4 linked regions of the Yarrowia lipolytica genome follow. The protein of the gene in region 2 purifies or fractionates together with the protein of the main gene of each other region. This does not show direct contact. Links are inferred from orthologs where the notes say so. Each region holds a gene or a part of one and is shown on either strand. Other genes may lie near its edges. The genes, in order: YALI1_F11781g, YALI1_B19388g, YALI1_D14329g and YALI1_D16656g.

What was found.
Region 1: the proteins of YALI1_B19388g (region 2) and YALI1_F11781g purify together in Saccharomyces cerevisiae (affinity purification with mass spectrometry; 3 studies listed by BioGRID). This does not show direct contact. The link is inferred for Yarrowia lipolytica from reciprocal best matches to the Saccharomyces cerevisiae genes KRE33 and NOP14.
Region 3: the proteins of YALI1_B19388g (region 2) and YALI1_D14329g purify together in Saccharomyces cerevisiae (affinity purification with mass spectrometry; 3 studies listed by BioGRID). This does not show direct contact. The link is inferred for Yarrowia lipolytica from reciprocal best matches to the Saccharomyces cerevisiae genes KRE33 and BFR2.
Region 4: the proteins of YALI1_B19388g (region 2) and YALI1_D16656g purify together in Saccharomyces cerevisiae (affinity purification with mass spectrometry; 3 studies listed by BioGRID). This does not show direct contact. The link is inferred for Yarrowia lipolytica from reciprocal best matches to the Saccharomyces cerevisiae genes KRE33 and UTP14.

What each region holds. Positions count from the first base shown.
Region 1 is NC_090775.1:1,175,146-1,179,789, reverse strand, and holds YALI1_F11781g (uncharacterized protein), read left to right. Parts: upstream 1-1,644; coding exon 1,645-4,143; downstream 4,144-4,644. Other genes in the region: YALI1_F11787g (uncharacterized protein), read right to left, coding at 333-763, 998-1,055; YALI1_F11729g (uncharacterized protein), read right to left, coding at 4,445-4,644. UniProt on the Saccharomyces cerevisiae protein: Involved in nucleolar processing of pre-18S ribosomal RNA. Has a role in the nuclear export of 40S pre-ribosomal subunit to the cytoplasm.
Region 2 is NC_090771.1:1,935,226-1,940,480, forward strand, and holds YALI1_B19388g (uncharacterized protein), read right to left. Parts: upstream 3,615-5,255; coding exon 543-3,614; downstream 1-542. Other genes in the region: YALI1_B19348g (uncharacterized protein), read left to right, coding at 1-454; YALI1_B19390g (uncharacterized protein), read left to right, coding at 3,812-4,031, 4,844-5,255. UniProt on the Saccharomyces cerevisiae protein: RNA cytidine acetyltransferase with specificity toward both 18S rRNA and tRNAs. Catalyzes the formation of N(4)-acetylcytidine (ac4C) at positions 1280 and 1773 in 18S rRNA.
Region 3 is NC_090773.1:1,430,922-1,434,750, forward strand, and holds YALI1_D14329g (uncharacterized protein), read right to left. Parts: upstream 2,041-3,829; coding exon 553-2,040; downstream 1-552. Other genes in the region: YALI1_D14304g (uncharacterized protein), read left to right, coding at 1-411; YALI1_D14333g (uncharacterized protein), read left to right, coding at 2,393-2,914; YALI1_D14391g (uncharacterized protein), read right to left, coding at 3,045-3,829. UniProt on the Saccharomyces cerevisiae protein: Involved in endoplasmic reticulum to Golgi transport. Involved in a protein-transport step blocked by brefeldin A, which disrupts the Golgi apparatus and its incoming protein flux. May also be involved for mass growth or cell proliferation.
Region 4 is NC_090773.1:1,662,232-1,667,500, reverse strand, and holds YALI1_D16656g (uncharacterized protein), read left to right. Parts: upstream 1-1,841; coding exon 1,842-4,754; downstream 4,755-5,269. Other genes in the region: YALI1_D16672g (uncharacterized protein), read left to right, coding at 279-1,310; YALI1_D16609g (uncharacterized protein), read right to left, coding at 5,100-5,269. UniProt on the Saccharomyces cerevisiae protein: Involved in nucleolar processing of pre-18S ribosomal RNA.

The sequences.
Region 1 (4,644 bases), on a different chromosome or scaffold from region 2:
ATGTCAGCAATCACACCCCACTACAAGTAGCCCGTCCCATACAAGTACTTGTACATGTACAATTGCGCCACCTAACAAAGATACATATGCCAACATAGAAGTCCCGCAGTCGTTCTGAGCAGACAAATCTGGGTACAGTACTTGTACAATCACTTGTAGAAAGGTCGAAATGAGTCCACCATATATATTCAAACCCTTACCCTACTCATCTATAATACTTGCCACGTTACACACAGTACTCGTACCAAAAACTACTTGTACTAGAGGTACTCCTAAGCCACAGCTTATACAACATGCCCTAGGGCTATTTTATTAAATGCATGTCAATACATCTATTCGACGTTGTCCTCAAAGTTCTCAACGAGGTTGGGGATCTCGTCGTCACCGGCCTCCTTGGCGGCGTCAGGGCCGCCGGCAGTCTTCTTTGCCTGCTCCTGGAGCTTGGAGAACTGAACGGCGGCCTGCTGCAGCTGCAGAAGAGCATCCTGGCCCATCTGGGGGAGGATATCAGGGATCAGCTCAGCAATGTCCTTCTGCTGGGAAGGACCAGAGATAGCAAAGGTGTTGGAGGCGACGGAGCCCTCAACGTGGACCTTGGGGAAGTGCAGCACGGTGCCGTCCTCCTTGAACATGTTGACCTCAGAGATACCGGTGATCTCCTGGGCGTTGAACTTCTTGAGGGTGGCGGACAGCTTCTTCTCGTCCTCAGAGATGTTTCGGCCAGCAACCTTCTTGCCGGGTCGTCGGGGAGTACCCTTTCCACCTGGGTTAGTACGTGTACGTTGAGAAACGTTGCGATCGTACCCGGACACGGGTATTGACGGGCGAATGGCTCACAGGATGATCAATCATTGTCATCCCAACTCGATCAAGGCCACCCCGCATCCTTCCATGTGATCGTTTATGAGTTCGATCTCGTTTGTATCCATTTTTTCCGTCCATTTTTCCACGCAGCGGTTTCGGACAAATCCAACGCCGCCAATTCAGAGATACTCACCGGACTGGGCACCGGACTTCTTCTGGAGAGCTGCGAGCTTAGCGGGATCAACAGGCATTTTGTGTGGTGTTTTTGGTTCTAGCAAAAGCGACAGTGTATATCCAGTGCAAGTTTTTTGTCATCCGCGTGCTCAGATATACAGTTCGGCATCAAGCCCTACCCAGTTGGGACGAACCGAGGGTAACCACTCAAGAGCAGGTGCAACGAGGAGGCCGCTGCGGTCACGTGACCGCATTTTTGCGGGCGACCCCCGGCCATTGGGATGGTCCCGTGTTGGCGGGTGGCCTTTTTTGGTGCTATTTACCCACACATTTACTTGTCTGGGGCGTCTGTCCTGTCTCTTCCCTTCAGGTTTTGGGATTTTGAGGGGAACAAGCATTCACCTTTTTTAGAGTAGCTAGCTACCCCAACCCGTGAAGTTTATTCCGGGAGACTTGGGGTGGAGTTTTGCGGAGGATACAGCTGTGGTAGGCAAAGGGGGGAGTCTCCGTTGTGTTCAGCTGGCCAAATTGTCCAGATAAATGTTTTCCACGAAATTTTTCAGACAGGTTATGAGCTGCAAGGTTAAAATATTTCCCGAGCTTATTCAAGATATTTTCAAAGTCAGCATCTCAGATTTCAACCCACAATCCACAACACCGTGAACGATGGCCAAAACGAGTCAGCTCAAGCGGCTCAAGGAGACGCTCAAGAAGAACGATCTGACGGGCCAGACTAATGTCAAGGGCAATAAAAAGAAGATGAACAGCGGCAAAAACCGCCAGGACAGAGACAAGGTGCTGTCTGACATCCGGCAGCAGTTCAACCCTTTCGATGTCAAGGTGGCCAGGAAGAAGCATGATATTGGAGGCCGAACCGTACGGGGCAGTGTGGGACGACCTGGACTGTCCAAGCTCAGTGGCGAGGAAGCCCGTATGGAGGCTCGAAAGCTGGAGTTGCAAAACAAGGGACGGGTTGGAGGAGTGTTTGACCGGCGGTTTGGAGAGGGTGACTCCAACATGAATCCCGAGGAGAAAATGCTGGAGCGGTTTACGCGGGAGCGACAGCTTCGGTCGATGGGTGGTGGTCGAAACAAGTCGATTTTCGCTCTTGACGATGACGATGACGACGCCGACGCTGATATGATGCTGACTCACTCTGGTCAGGCTCTTGATTTCAAGGACGATTTTGATCAGGGCGATCTGGGTATTGAGGCCGAGGAGGACGAGGAGATGGCAGCCATTCTTGCCAACCGACGCAAGCTAGCAGAGGAGCGGGGTATGGGTGCTATGGGAGTCAATCTGGAGGAGATGGACGGAGTTGATATGGAGGAGGCGGGCACTGGCCGAAAGAAGAGCAAGGAGGAGGTCATGAAGGAGATCATTGCCAAGTCCAAGTTCCACAAGGCCGAGCGACAGGCAGCTCGTGACAAGGACCAGGCGATTATCGAGGAAATGAACGACGAGGACACCATGAATGCTCTGATCCGGGAGCTGGGATCTATCAAGGCCAAGAAGGTGGTGACAGCTCTGGACCAGAAGGAGAAGGAGTACGACCAGAACTTCCGAAACATGATTCTGGACCGTCGAGCCAAGCCTCAGGACAGAACTAAGACTGACGAGGAGCTGGCCAAAGAGGAGGCTGAAAAGCTCAAGAAGCTGGAGGATGAGCGACAGGCCCGAATGCGAGGCGAGGTTGCCATTGACCAGGGCGAAGGCGATGATCTGGACGGCAATGTGGCGTTTGACTTTGAGAATTCCGAGGAGGAGGGTGAGGATGATGAAGACGAGGCCGAAGATGATGATGATGAAGATGTTGAGATTCATGAAGTAGATGAAGACGAAGATGAGTCTGGCGATAAATCTGGTGATGAATCTGGCGAGGAGGAGACTACAAAGTCCGAGCCAGCCTCAAAGTCTTCCTCCTCCACTCTAGCATACACATTTCCCATCCCCAAATCACACAAGATGTTCTTGGAGACCACATCGGCCTACCCTCTGGACCAGCTGCCCACCATCATCGACCGGATCAACGTTTTGCATCACGCCTCGCTCAAGGAGGGCAACAAAGAGCGTCTAGCCAAGTTTGCATGCGTGCTCATCGACCATCTCATGTACCTCGCCGACGAAGAGGAGGAGGACGACTTTGAGTGTTTGTCTGAAGTCGTCGCTAAAGTGCACACTTTGGCGGAAACTCACAGTCCTACTATGGCTGCTCACATCAGAAAGAAGTTGGAGGCTCATCAGGCCGACACTACAGTTACGGCCGGTCATCTCATGCTGTGGACTTTGATTGGCATGATTTTCTCCACGTCCGATCATTTCCACCTGGTTGTGACGCCTGCGGTGCTCGTTATGACCCGTTTCCTGTCTCTGTCCACCTTTGACTCCATTCCCAAGTGCATTGCCGGGCTGTACACCGCCCAGCTGTTGATCCAGTACCAGCGAATTGCCAAGCGGTTCATTCCCGAGATTGCCGTCTTCCTGGGCCGTCTGATTGCTGCTCTGGAAGGCACTGAGACTTCTCTTCCCATGGCTTCTCTTTTCAAGATTGCTCCTATCAAGGGTTTCACTCCTGGTAAGGCTTCCCACAAGTCTACCGATAAGACCATCTCAATGAGATCAGCCAACCGATCCATTCTGAGCAAGAAGGAGGTGGCCACGCTATCTCAGGAGCTCCATAACCAGGCCGTGTTTTCCGTCTCCAAGCTCATGGACACATACAAGGACATTTCAGCCTTCCCTGAGACTTTCGAGTTCTGCGAGAACATTCCCGAGCTTGCAGACAAGTATAGCCGAATCACCAAGTTCAAGTTGGCTGACCGAAAGCCTCTCACTCTACACAAGCACCGACCCCTGGCCATCAAGACCATGGCCCCCAAGTTCGAGGAAAACTTCAACGTGGACAAAAAGTCGTACAACCCGGATATGGCGCTACAGGAGACCCAGAAACTTCGAGCCGAGCTCAAGAAGGAGAAGAAGAGCGCGCTGCGGGAGATCCGAAAGGACGCCGCCTTCGAGGCCCGAGAAAAGATCCGAGAACGACGAGAGAAGGACGACGCCTACCACGAAAAGATGGCTCGACTGGTGCGATCTGTGCAGACCGAGGAGGGAGCCGAAAAGAACGCCTACGAGAGAGAACGGGCCAGCAGAAAGCGAAAGCGATAGATGCAGAGCGGAGATATATAGAGAATTGTTTATTGTTGCAAGTAACCACTCGCTTCGCTCGTGGTTGCTGGTTGTATTCGTAGATGTAAGACGAGTAGAGTACTTACATAGATACTAGACACTTGAAATAACGGTTTCATTTGCTCACATCATTTACTATTGATATACATAGTCGGTGTATTATTCGTCTCTGGCGCAGCGTCCAGGAACTGTTTGATGAAGATGTTCATCTACAATAGATCTACTTCGATTTGCCTACAGTCCATTCATCTCACACAAGTCAATAAATAAATGCATTAAGTCAGGCGCCCAGGTTCATGTTGTCGGTCTTCTTGTAAAACTGGTTGAGCATGTCCACCACTCGTTCCTTGTCCTTGGGCTGCTCGTCATTGTCCATGTCTCTGTTTGAAGTCGTCTGATCTATGAACGACTCGTCGACATCGAAGTTGATAAGATCTCTTCGAGGAGCGGCTCCGGTGGCTGTTCCTGATGTGGCAGTAG
Region 2 (5,255 bases):
CCAGAACTCCCTGGGACCCGCTGCTCTTGATGAAAACGCTGTCGACGCCTTTAAGCGTCGAATGCACCCTTACATGCCTGAGTTTGAGAACAAGCTGATTGTCATTCTGGATGGTATCATGGTCTACCATGACGCTCAATTCACCGAGTTGTTCGATATCAAGATTCTGGTCAGATCCAGTTACGAAAACCTCAAGTCTCGACGAGAAGCTCGATCCGGATACGTCACTCTGGAAGGGTTTTGGAAGGATCCTGAGGGATACTTCCACAACATTGTTTGGCCCGGTTACCTAAAGACCCACAAACAGCTGTTTGAAAACGAAAATCCCAACGGAGAACCCAGTAAGGACGCCACCAGAGAAGGAATCCGAATCGTGCCCACCACCGATTTCGACGTGGCCGAGACTCTTGATTGGGTGTTTGATGTCATTCTGGACTATTACGATCTTGAGTAAAGACCATGCACATATTTATAATCGTGACTCTACTTAATTAATTGTACATACATTGTAATAAATCTATCAGTTTTTATATGTCATTAGTTTATTTCTTGCCCTTCTTGCTCTTCTTGGCAGACTTGAGAGCGTTCATCTCCTCTTTGTAGATGCTATCGACACTCTCGGCCTTTCGCTTCTTCTCTTTGCTGCTGTTGCGCACAGCAAGAGTTGTGCCAGCCTTGCCGGTAGCAGCCTTGGAAGCCCCCTTCTTGGCTCCCTCCCAGTCATCGTCGTTGATCTTGAACTCGTTGAGATCCAAGGCATTGATGAGTTCTCGCTGCTTCTCTCTAAGAGCCGCGGTCACCTCATCTCCAGCCTCCTCAAGCTCGTCAGTAACATCCTCCTGGACCTCGCCAAACATATCCTCCTCGCCATCCAGCTCTCGGACATCTTCATGAAGCTGCTTGGGCATCTGCTCGTCGATGGCAGAAGAGAGCACCTCTCGGAAGTAATTGGACACCTTTCGGATGATTTTGGAGAACATCGCCATGTTTTGAGAAACAGACAGGTTGAGCTCAGCAGACATCTTGTCCATGTCCTTTCGTTGAAGACCAATACCAAGCAGAACAGCAGACTGAACAATAGACAGCTTGATGTTGGCAGGGAACTGGTCTCGGAAGTACATTGTAGCAATTGCAGGAAGCATATCGACAATGACGTGGTAATCCAACAGGTTGTTGGCATAGGACTCGAGTCGCTTCAGATCAAAGGGAGTGAAGAGTCGGTCAAGCTCGGCCTTGGTGACAGGAACTCTCTCCTTCTTGTTCATCGACTTGGCAGACTCCACAAGTGATAGAGCATGAGAAGCGGTGAACGAGCTGAACTCAAAAGAAAGAAGAGTGAGGAACCGCTTGTGAAAGTCACTGGAGAACTCGGCGAGCCAGGAGTCGTCCTGACCCTTGAGACCTCGAAGCATGACACAAGTGTGCTCACCAGTGAGCTCGTTGGCTGTCTGTCGCAGGTATACAGGTACGTAGCCGTTTCGCTTCCAGAACTTGTGCAGCTGGTTGGTAAGACCGTAAGAAACACCCATGTAGTTGAGTCGATGGGGAGGAATCTCGGACAGCTTGTTCAGCAGAGGAGGCATGGAGGCAGCGTCTCGAACCGTGATCTTATCGGTCAGCTTGCCCTTGGCAAGTTCTGCGTCGGTAACTCGGACAATAGACTGGTTCTCGAGAGACGTTCGCTCGGAGATATCTGTGAACTTTCCCTCAAAGTAATCCTGAAGCAAGTCCAGAGCTCGGCCACCGTAGCCCATACCCATGTACTCGGGGTTGGTGGCAATTCTGACGATTCGAGCGCCAGAGAGAGATGCAAATTCGTCGTCCTGGTACTGCTGGGACATGAGCCAGGGGATCAGGTCACCGCTAGATCGCTGGCCTCTAGACAAGGCGTTTCGAACACTGTCCTTTGAAATCTCACCTTCAAGCGCAACCTGGACAACAACCAGAGGCTCGGGAAGCTGGTTACCCTCCTGGGGGCCCAGAAGAACGTAGAGCTGATGAGCGGGAGCATCGGACAGCAGCTGCAGATCGTTGGGAGTGTTCTTGTAATGAGATGCCACGTAGAGAGCCATCATTCGATGCAAAAATGCCTCAGAGACCGCATGGTAGGAGAAGAGAGTGTCTCTGTTGACGGCAAAAAGCTGACACTTGTCAGGGTGAGGAGTGGCAGCATTCTTGGCCTTGGGAGCAATAGTGGCGTCGAGGCACAGCAGCTTGTTGAGCCACTTCTCGACGGGGTCACCAGGAGCGTATCGGATGGGCTCATCCAGCACAACTTCATGCAGAGTTCGGCCCATCTGAGTCTTTCCAGAGCTCTCTCGCAGCTGCTGGATCAGCTTAAGAGATAGAGATCGACCAGTACCTTCGTAACCATTGATGGTAGAAGCCATGAAGACAAGGTAGGGACCAAGCAGTTTCTTCACAACGGGGAGCGGAATTGCGGCAGCCTCATCGATTACGACCAGCTCCGCCTGACCCAGAACATGCGAGTCGCCAGGGACAATGTACTGAATTGTCTGTCGATGGGACTTGAAGATGTTGACTCGGACAATGGCCTTGTTAAAAGCAGGGTTGGTGGACTGCTGGATGTCGTAGTCAACATGCTCCTCATATCCTAGGGCATCGAATCCCTTGAAGATGAACTCGAAGAGGGTCTTCAAGTTTTCGGGGGAAGGAGAGGTGATGAAGATGTTGGAGTAGCCCTGGCCAACAGCGGCAGCAATTGCCACACCAAGAGCAGCCGACTTACCTCGACCTCGGCCAGCGGTAAGAGCAACTGTGCTCTTGAGGTTCTTCTCAACAATCGTATCGATGAAAGTCAGGATAGCCTTACCCTGGTCCACAGTCTTTGCAATCTTAACCAGGTCACCGGTGGGCTTGATGTCAGCAAGAGAATCCTTAAGGTCTCGAAGAGCCTGGACGTTCTCAGGAACATCCTCGTCCTCGTCAAGAGGAGGCAGAGCTTTGACTGTCTTGGCTCCCGAGATGGGGAGAACGTTGAGCTCGTCATCAACAACGAGACACGTTCGACAGTCATTAAGAGACAGCAAGAATCGCTCGTTGAAACGGGCAACAACATCATTGTGGGCCTCAGTTCGGTATCGGGAGTGGATATCCATGGTCATAGTATACAGTTGCTTTACGGAGGCCATGCTCTTAAGCATCATAACCACAATACCTCCACCCTCGACAGTCTCAATAGTCCGGGCCAGCAGATTAGGGGTCAGAGCCTCAAAGTCTTGCAGGATACACATGCCGTAGGTGTTACCGAGAATCTTCTCAGTGTCCTTGTAGAAGCAGTATCGAATGTTCTGCAGAGAGACAAACAGCTCAAAGGGATCCTCTTGGTTGACCTCTCGGATGCCCTGCTTGATCTCCTTCTTGATCTTGGTCTCTCGCTTCTTTCTGTGCGAGGTGAATCCCAGCAACTTGTGTTTGTAGGCCCACAGAACAGACTTGTTCATTCGAATGTCTGCGGACGACATGAGGTAGTGCAGGTTGGGGAGTTGGTTTTTCGCATTATCTCCAACAATGATGAAGAAAGAACGCTGCTTTTCCTGGACTCCGTTTCGGATCAGAGCCGGAATTCGGGGGTCGATTTGCTTCTTTCCCATTGTGAGTGTGTGTATTCACTTGGATTCCTGCAGGCGAATTTCTCTATCTAAATTTTGTCTAAAATCCAGAATTTTTTTAGGCCTTGCATGATCCTGCATGATCCGGTAGGGTAAGGCACCTTGTTGTAAGTTCAACATGGCACACGAACCAAAAGTTGATCACCACCAAAGAAAAAAACATCCCTACACAACAGATAATGTCCTCCACAGATAAGGTCCGATACGACCCGTCGTCTTTCCTGGGCGAGATTTCGGGCAAGAAGGTCAACGTTCGGGTCTCCACCGGCACCACTTTCTCTGGCGTCCTCCAGTCTGTTGATGGATACATGAGCATTGTTCTGGAGAACGCTGAGGAGCTGGTTGATGACAAGGTCGTCGGTATCTATGATGATGACGTTTTTATTCGAGGAAACAATGGTGAGTATAAAAGTGGCATTTGGAATAATGTAAAGGTTGGGCCAGAAGAAGTGGGGATCACGACAGCAGCTCTATAAGCACGATCGCCTTCAGATTAATGCGTGGGCTTCAATGCCGTTGATCATATGAATGTGAATCGATTTTTAATATGATTCCCACGGCTTAGTTGAGGCGAATAGACGACCAACTGGCCTTGTGGGCTTCTCGAGTTATCCCATCTATTACAGATTCAACAAAGATGATATATAACACCACTAACACAGTCCTCTATGTCGCTGCTGCTGACAAATAACTTATTGAGTCTTCTGTAAATATACACGGTTGGTAATGAAGGAATGTCTATTCTATGAGGTGTAGGGTTGTAAGAAAACTACAAGGTCCGCGCTGAAACATGATCAGTCTGGTGCAGCTTGTTTACAACTAATTAGCATCAGTAGACCAATCACTGGTATGTCTTGACCTTCTGCGACTACTGATATTCAGTGGTACTTAGTTATTGTGGGCCCATTTGATTGTACTTGGAACCCACCCTGTACTGTATGTACAGTATGTACAGTGATACCCTAACAGGTGACTCCAATTAACCTATGCATATTTATAACCAACACCTTCCTTCTGTGTCACGGCCCACCCTACTGCAACTAGTTGGCCACAAACACAACGCCCCCGACACAACACGAGCCCCCGCAACCCCCAATTAATATTGATACCCCCACTTTGATTGATCTCGATACCCAGACGCAATATCATGATACCAGCGAGTTAGTTGTAACCTCTTCATACCCCTCATCTCCCACTTCCTACTAACACAGAACGACGATTGGACTCATCGCCTGAGACGTCTCCCACTCGTGTCAACAAGCGAGACTCGGGACTTGCCCTTTCACCATTGTCGTCGCCCCCAGCAGCCACCCCGAAGCTTGCACCCCGATCCAAGTCGCTCTACAAGACAGGTCCTCCCTTCGTGAGTGCTCAGCAGGCAGTGGCACTTTGTTCCGCAGATGGTACACCAGCCACCATCAGACTTCATGCGCGGCTGGATCGCGGCTTCGAAGAGGAGAACGGCAGCTGGATCTGCTACAGACGTAACTATATGTCACTGTGTGCTGCGTTCGACATTGTGGAGCATTCCATCGTTCCAATGACCCCGCCGTACCCTACAGGCCCAGTGTACATCGCTAGTGGTCCTCACGAGAACGCCCAATGTCTCTATTTTGTGCTGCG
Region 3 (3,829 bases), on a different chromosome or scaffold from region 2:
GTGCTTTCGGCTGATGACGCGGCCAAAGAGACACAGAAAATGTATGATGAACATCTGGACAAAGCCAGATACCACCAGGACCTGTCATATAAGATGAGGAACAGGTTCAGAGGTCAAAAACGCGCATTGGAAGCCCAAGACCAAAGAGACAACCTTCTCAAGGACAAAATGGGACTTCTGCGGGATCTACCTCTTGCTAAGGAAGCGCAAGTGATGGTTCCTCACCTGGAAAGGGGTTTAGTGGCGGAGCAAGAACTCAGGTTGAAGTCTCTATCCCACGGTGGACTGTTTGATTCTACCAAGCAGAAAGGATCACTTGCACAACAAACTAGAGAGCTCTCCAGAACGCTACAGTCTAAGCCACGGCCGAAATTGAAACTCAGAGGGATCAAGAAACCGGCCAAACAATAATGCCAGTATATACTGTACTTTTACTACTATTTATTCTTATTACACTACTTAATACGCCCTGTATACTCTTCATTTTCATTTGGCACCTGCCTCTATTATTAAAGTACATCTACTTAAAACCCCATGCTAAAACCACTGATACTAACCAAAGATTCGGAGACCGTCGTCGGGAATAACCAACTCCTGCTCCTCCTTTTCTTCCTTTTCTTCCTTCTCCTTCTCCTCTCCATCATCGTCCTCGTTGAAGTTGACTCGCTGCCCCAGAAGACCGGCAAACAGCTCGTCGATCTGATCGTCCTCCCAGGTGAAAACCGGCCGGGGAGCAGCAAAGTTCTGCACCTTGTCCTGCACATGGTATCGCAGCTTTCTACCCTTGGATGCTCTTGTGTCCACGTTCTTCTTGGTCTTGGCCTTTGTGGCAGTCCAGGTCTTGACGCCACTGCTTTGAGAGCCGGAATCCACCATTCGTCGGTCAATCAGATCCTTGAGTAAGTTTCGGTAAAAGTCTGAGTCATCAAAGATGTAGTAGTTTTCGCCCTCGGCGTCCTGAATGGCGCCCATCTGTTCCTCGCCAAGAATGACAACGTTGGATCGATTCATTCGAGTTCGCTTGACAAGTCGGTCCATGTCCGCCAGAGTAGCAGCGACCTGGTTGGCAGAAGACTGGTTCAGAGCCTTGAACTTGGAGGAGTTGAGAGCGGAGGCCGCAGATGAGGCCTGCACCTTCTGAGACCACTTGCTCAGCACAGAAGTCTCGTATGCCTTGAATTCTGTATCCAGCTTGTCCATGTTATCCAGAGTGGCATCAAAAGTTCGCTTGGTCGATAGCTTGACGGAGTCGGCAGCAAACACATTGTCCTGCACAGCCATGTTGTGTCGCATCTTGGCTATTTGGGAGATGAAGTCCGACAACTTTGCCTTTGTGTCTTGAAGAGTGTTGGTGATGTCTTCACCGAGCTCCTCGGCCTTAGTATCGCTGATAGGAAGAGCGTTGGCAGACTGGACTGCCTTTTGGAATGTGATTCGCGCGTCCAGAAGTGTCTCGTATAGATCGGTCTGTTTGTGAATGGCGAATCCCTTTTGTGCGTCGGAAACAATAGCCTCCTTGGCCTGCTGCTTGGACGCCTTCTTTTCCTCCCTCAGCAGCTCCTTGAGGGTGGCTCTAGCCGAGCTGTCATTCTCGTTCTCAGACAGCTCTTCGTCAGACTCGTCCTCATCCTGCTCATCCTCCATGTCTTCATCTCCGTCTTCGTCCTGGTCCTCTTCATCAACCTCAACTTCGTCGTCAATGAAACCATTGCCTTCTCCCTCCTCATCGTCCTCCTCATCGTCCTCGTCGTCCTCATCAATGAAACCGTCAGCGCCATCGCCGTCCTCGTCCTCGTCGTCATAAAGAGCCTTCCTGCTCACCTTGCCGGCCTTGTACTTGGGGTTTAGAGCAGGAGCATCATCTCGCAGCTTGCTCTTGCCGACCTTGACATAGTGCTCTGTCGCTAGATCACTGTCGTAATCCACGTCTCCACCGCTCTCGGAACCATCGTCACGGTCCTCAAAGTTCTCGATATCCACATCCTTGGGCTTGGGGTTAGCCAGTTGAGAAATCTGCTCGGCCAGAGATAATTTCGCCATGTTTGTGTACTGTTTCAAGTCGAGCCTGCACTCTGTCAAACTGTAGTCAAAAAAAATTCCAGACCTGCCAAAATTTCGCTATCTTGCATATGCAGGGTAACCCATGACGAGCTGGACAGTAGGCAGAGACTAGCCCAGGAATGAAAGAGATAAATGAGACGGCGGCCACAGTGGTGATATCATAAGATGTTGATTGGTCATACTGTTGCTCTGGAACACAGAAAAATCTCTCCATTCACCACTCCTCATAACCTGATCCCAGCATCCCTCATGCCTGTCTCATGCACCTTTCTTCCAAGTTATCCAAGCTCCCTCCATACACACCTGCCTTCCTCTCAAGAACCACATAGACATGGCCAAGCTGCCGACTAACTGGAAGCAAAAGTACCTGAAATCACAGGCCGAGGCGCGCACAAAAAAGGTGTCGGCGATATCGCCCATGGAGGTGCGAAACGGAACGAAAAAGTCGCTGCAAAAGGCCCTGGCAGAAGCCGCCGACGAAGACGAGGAGGACGACGAAATCTCGACTCAGGTGGCAAACGAGGTCGAACAGCGACTCTTTGACCTCTACGGAATCTCGCCGGAATACAAGTCGGCCGTCCGAACCCGCCTGGTGAGTTTAAAGAGTAAGAACTCCACAATAGCCGTGGAACTATTGTGTGGAGCAATTGAGCCTCAGGCGTTTGCTGAATACACAGTTGAGCAACTGAAATCGGACCAGCGCAAAAAGGAAGAACAGGCCCTGAAAGATGAGAACCTCAGACAGGCAACCATGGAGAAACCAACCAAGGAAGATATCAACATGTACAAAGACGGACGAGACCGAGAAAAGTGGGGAGTGTCTAGATCGGCTGCTGCCATCGATGATGATTAGAGAGAGAGAGAGAGAGACACACACACACACACACAAGATGGTTGTGTGATAGGGCTAACTTATAAGTTGCAGGCTGTGTTTTGTACAAGTACTGTATTTCTACGTGTAAATTATTAATAAATCATAATCCTTATTCAGGTGCCGAATATTCTTCATCAATGGTTATGACACCATTGGAACCAGTCGACTTGCTCTTAGGCGTATTCTTACCAGCCGGCTCGGCAGATGCGGACTTTTCCTCCTCGGCAAACTTGTCTGTCTTTTCCTCCTCAGCAGACTTGTCCGATTTGTCCTCCTCCGCAGATTTGTCAGCTTCCCCTTCTGCTTCGGGCTCAACAGTGGTCTCTGTGTTGCCTTGGTTAGCATCGGCCATCTCTACATCCGAGTCCTGGGTAGATTTCTCAGGCTCCTCGGTGGGCTCCTTTTCTTTCTCCTCCGAATTGGACCGAGTGCCACTGTTGCTTGAGGAACCATTACTGGAGGCCACAGCTGGAGGACCCTTGGTCGTCACGAGCTTGATGTTCTCACCCACCTTGTTGGAGCAGGCCTTGATGAGATTGGTGGCCCGCAGAAGAATATCCTTTCGAGTAACCCGCGTCTTCTCTTTTTTGCCATCTTCCTTCTTTCCAGCAGTGGTCGCTGTAGTAGCAGGAGCAGGAAGAGCAGGAGGCTGGGCACTGCCTGGCTGAAACTCAAACTTGGCTCCATCAAGAACCACTGGCGTAGATGAGCGGCTCTTGTTGTCCGCCAGTAGTGAAGTACCAGCGTATTCAATGAGCATCTTGAGATACAGACAAACAACTGTGTCATCCACTACACCTGTGGATCCAAAGCCGTTGTTCAGCCGTCTGAACTCAGATGCATAGTACAGCAAAGACAGCAGATACGAAGCCGGCTCCTTGCTCTTGGTGATCT
Region 4 (5,269 bases), on a different chromosome or scaffold from region 2:
CCTTTCGTAAAACTTGATCTACTATCAGTATCTTAGTTAGCCTGTACTTGAACAAATATATCTGACCGAAATTCTCTGATTTTCTACGAAATACGTAAAAATGGGGGGTAAAAGGTCAAAATACCGAAAATCGAGACTGTAAACCGACTCACCTCCCCAAAAACACACACACATTTCTCTACAATACCACCATCGAGGTCCTCGCTCTATCACACTATTCGCCTCTGGAAACCTAACTCAAAAAAATTGTTACAGCATGCATACGGAACACAACGTCCATGGTCCCCCATAACTACACATCTACAATGGACTACGGCAAGATTCAGGAGTACATGGCGACGAGCCAGCCTCTCATGGCGATCGAGAAGCTGCAAAAACACCTGTCCACGGCCCCAGACGATCTTTTGGCGCTCCAATTACTAGGAGAAGCTCTACTGGAAATCGGAGAGCCCGAGCAGGCGTACAATCACATCAAAATGGCGGCCGACGCGGATCCAGACGGATCCAAGGGCGGCTACGAGAAGTTTCTGTGGCTGGGCCAGCTGGTCGGAGGCAGACAGGGCATTGAGTGGTACAACAAGGGAATTGAGGGCCTCAAACAGGACATTGCTAACGACGAGCACAAGCTGGGTTCGGGGTCGCTGGACCAGGACTCCGACCACACCAAGCAGGCACTCGCATACAAGAAGCGAAAGCTGTGCGAAACGCTGTGTGGAATTGTCGAAATCTGGATGACCGACCTGTGCATGGAGGAAGAGGCCGAGACCCAATGTGTCAACCTGATGGAGGAAGCTATCAAGACCGATAATGAGCATGCCGAGAGCTGGGCCGTGGTGGCCAGCGTGCGAATCAGTCAGCAGAAGAATGAGGAGGCCAAGGAGGCTCTTGCCAAGGCATGGGAGATTTTTGCCGTGGACCAGGAGCCTTCTCTTCCCTCCATCATGCAACTGACTAAGATGCTCATTGAGATGGGCATGCTTGAGCAGGCTCTGGAGGCGTCGGTTCGAATCCACGATCTCAATGATGAGGAGATTGAGGGTTTCTATCTGGCTGGCCTGGCCTCTTTCACGGCCTGGGAGCAGGACAAGGAGGACCTTACACACGCTGTAGCCGCAGCTTCTGCCTTCCAGCGAGCCTCCAAGCTGTACGAGAAGCAAACCAAGCAATTTGGCGAGGCTTCTTGCGACCCAGAGGTGGTGCAGCACATTCAGGAGATGTACGCCAAGCTGCCCTCCGATCTGGAGATTGAGGAGGACAAGAAGGAGGAGTATGACGATTCTTGGGAAAAGGAAATTGTTTACGAGGAGTAAATAGGATAGTTTTGATAGACTTATATGCTAAGATGAACATGGCGCAGAAGGAGGGTAGTCTGGGATCACCAACTGTTTGAGGAACGATCCAGAGTTCAGAAACGCCAAAACCGATGGCACGGGAAGAAAAGAAATGTCTGTAGCAGCAAAACAATATCATGTGGCATTTCTTTTGAGTAAGTATATCGCCACCAAGGGGCTTGTCTCCACTTCGTATTGAATCGTGTGCGTGTAGTGCCCAGCCTTGCAACAACAGTACTATCACCCTCCTTTTCTTCCCATAGGCAATTCTTATCATGTAAACGAGTTTATGGTCTGTAAAAGGTGGCTTCTGAGCATTCATCAATATCTCAAAAAATCTCCGCCTTGTCTACTAAAAGTGTGTGTCCTCTTCTACTACAAGTAGTACCAGTCCCGCCAGTCACCACTGGTGTAGAAAAACCGTGCATAAAGTTTTGCCAAAGTCTAAAAAAATATTGTAAGACGCACGGAGCGATATATCTCTGCCATCCATTTTCAGAACCACACAGTATGGGAAAACGAAGCAAAAGCAGCCGGTCCGGGCGAACCACGACCGCCGGCAAGGTGTTTTCGTCCAAGCGAGCCACGTCGTACAAAAACGAAACCGAGCCCTCCAAGCCCGTACCCAAGTCTCGAGGCAAGCATGCTCTGTTGAACGCCTTTGAAATCGCCGAGGCTGAGGAGCGAAAGAAGGCCCGTAAGAACGGGGAGGAGTACTCCGACGACTCCGAGGATCACGACATTGACGATGTTTACGATGACGGTATTGTTCGGTTCAACAAGGACGGAACTAGAAAGGTGTATCAGCCTGGCGATGAGGAGGAGGAGGAAGACGACTCGGAAATCGACTCTGACGAGGCGTTTGGCTCTGACGACGGCGACGAGGAGATTCTGGACTCTTTCGGCGTCAAGTCCAAGGCCAAGGCCAAGTTCAAGGCCATGGAGGACGAGTACGACTCTGTGGACGAGGAGGAGTTTGTGGATCTTTCCGAGGCCTGGGATCTGGACGATCGTCAGCAGGAGAACCTCAAGAAGAAGAGCGGTGAGAAGGCTGCCCAAAAGGAGGATGCAAAGAAGAGCTCAAAGACCAAGGCTACCACTTCTTTCAATCTTCAGGAGGAGGAGGATGACGAGTCACATGGAGATGATGAGTCTGAGGAGGGAGGATCTGAGCAGGAACAGGATGCGGATTCCGAGGACGTTTCTGACGGAGAGGAGATCGACTCTGATAACGACGACGATTCTGATGACGGTGACGACGACTCTGATGAGGAGGACTCGGACGGATCTGTCTTTTCCGATATCGATACCGAGTTTGATGAGGAGAAGGCCGACAAGCTTCGATCTCTCATTTCCAACATGTACGAGAACGACGAGGATGCTGAGTACGAGAAACGACGACGATACGAGAACAACAACCAAGAGGAAAATGAGTTTGGCGTGACAGTGTCGAAAAAGAACAATGATGGCAAGCTGTCTCTTTCGGACCTGACTTCAGGTGTGGACAAGAAGGCAGCTGCTAGTCTGTCTCTTCTTGGCAAGCCCGACGGCAAGTCCAAAAACAAGCCCCAACATGTGGCTGTGCCTCTCAGTAAACGTCTCCAGGACAAGGTGGAACGTAAGGCAGCTCTTGATCTGACGCGAGAGGAGCTGACCAAGTTCGACGACCTGATTGCCCAGGACGAGGATGCTGAGCATCTGGTTTTCCCCCGTCTTCCCGTCTACGACTCTGATGAGGAGGCCAAGCAGCTGCCCAACACCGGTATTTCTGCGCTGGCCCCCGAGAGTGCTATGGAGAAGAAGATTGCCGGTATCCTCAAGACTTCTGCTCTTGCCGACGAGTCGCAGGCACAAAAGTTTGAGGAGCTGGCCACCAAAAACATGTCTATGGAGGAGCTAGCTGCCCGACGAAACGAGCTTCGACGAATGCGAGAGCTAATGTTCCGAGAGGAGCAAAAGGCGCGGCGAATCAAGAAGATCAAGTCCAAAACGTACCGAAAGATCCACAAGCGAGAGCGAGAACGGCTCCGAGACGCCATGATGTCCGACGAGGAGAGTGACCAGGAGGACCACGACATCAAGCGAGCTCAGGAGCGAATGTCGCTCAAGCACAAGAACCAGGGCAAGTGGGCCAAGCGAATGGTATCGCAGGGTCTGACCAAGGATGCCGAGACTCGAGGAGAGATGGAGGAGATGCTTCGACGAGGTGAAAGTCTGCGAAAGAAGATGTCTGCTCGGGACGACAACGATGGCGACGAGCAGATTGACTCTAATCTGGGCGACGACCAGTTTCTGTCCCAGAACAGAGACGCTCTGGTTGATCCTGATGAGCCTGCTGAGGGAGCTAATCTGGGCAAGGGTCTGCTTGGCATGAAGTTCATGCGAGAGGCTGAGGCTCGTCAGAAGACGGAGAACCAGCAGCGAATCCAGGAGCTCGATCGAGCCAAGGCCAACTGGGAACTTGGGCAGAGTGACGACGAGGACGAAGGTCGAGTTGACACTGCCAACGAGATTCTCAACCAGGGTCGACGAAAGTACGCGCCCGGAACCAAACGGTCTATTGCCGATGTGCTTGCTGTCAAGATTGACTCTGAGCGAAAGGCTGATCTTCAGTCTGATGATGATGAGGATGATAATGACGACAGAGATAACGACAACGTGACTACTGTGGTCAAGAGCGACAAAAAGAAGGAAGGAGGTGCACAGGACGACGATTCTGATTCAGATGACGACGCCTCCAACCCCTGGTTCACCGAAACCAACATCCACAAGAGCAACAAGGTCAAGCCTGTGATGGAGGCTGAGGCTTCTGCACGAGACCGGCTGGCCCACAAGGTGGCCAAGCATCAGAGCCGGGTGGTGGAGAGTGCGAAGAGCAAAAAGGCCCGCAAGCAAGATAACATTCTCATTGACACTTCCGATACTCTTGATCTCGTGACTCAGGATCGAGAGGCCGACACTGACAAGGGTATCTCTTTCAAGCAGGATATGATCAAGCGGGCCTTTGCAGGAGACGATATCGTCGAGGAAGAGTTCATGGCCGAAAAGAGACAGCGAATCGCCGACGAAGGAGATCAGGAAATCGACATGACCCTGCCCGGGTGGGGAGGCTGGGGAGGAGAGGGCATGAAGGCGCCCAAGAAGCGGTTTGTCAAGAAGATCCAGGGTGTGGCCGTCGAGAAGCGTCAGGATCGAGATCTCAAGAACGTGATCATTTCGGAAAAGTCGGACAAAAAGTCGGACAAGTACCAGGTCAAGTCGGTCCCCTATCCCTTCGAGTCTGTCGAGCAGTACGAGGCCTACCTCAAGATGCCCATGGGCCAGCAGTGGACCACGGAGACTACCCACCAGAAGCTCATCAAGCCCCGAGTCATTGTCAAGCCCGGAGCTATCATCAACCCTCTGGATGCTCCTCAAAAGTAGTGTCCTTCATTCTAAAATCTCGTCAGCCATATATAGAGGCTTGGTATATATTTAAGTGTTATGAAGTATGCACACACGTAGTGTGCTAGTGATCGATGCCTATGACTTTGAGTGCTTTAGTCTGGTACAGTACACTCTCATTCTCATCTACTGATCGGAGTAATATAGTTGAACATTTTGTTAAACTATCTGGGGTAGAATGCACACACTGAACAAAGTCACACTTGCGTTACAATGTCTTTGGTTCCCGTCTATATGTTTGCCATTTTTCGGCCACTCATTTCCATTTCCGTATTCATCAAATCATTATTCATTACTGGTCTAACATGTCTACATGGGCCACATTTACAGATCCAAAAGGTTGCCGGTCTCCGCAGGCTTAGAAGCAGGAGCAGGAGTGGAAGAAGACGAAGAAGCGGGAGCGCCCCACAAAGCCTCCTCGTTGGACTTTTGGGCCATGGATGACAACGAGGTTGTGGGCTCGTTCTTCTTGGCCTTGGTAACGCCTGTGGAAG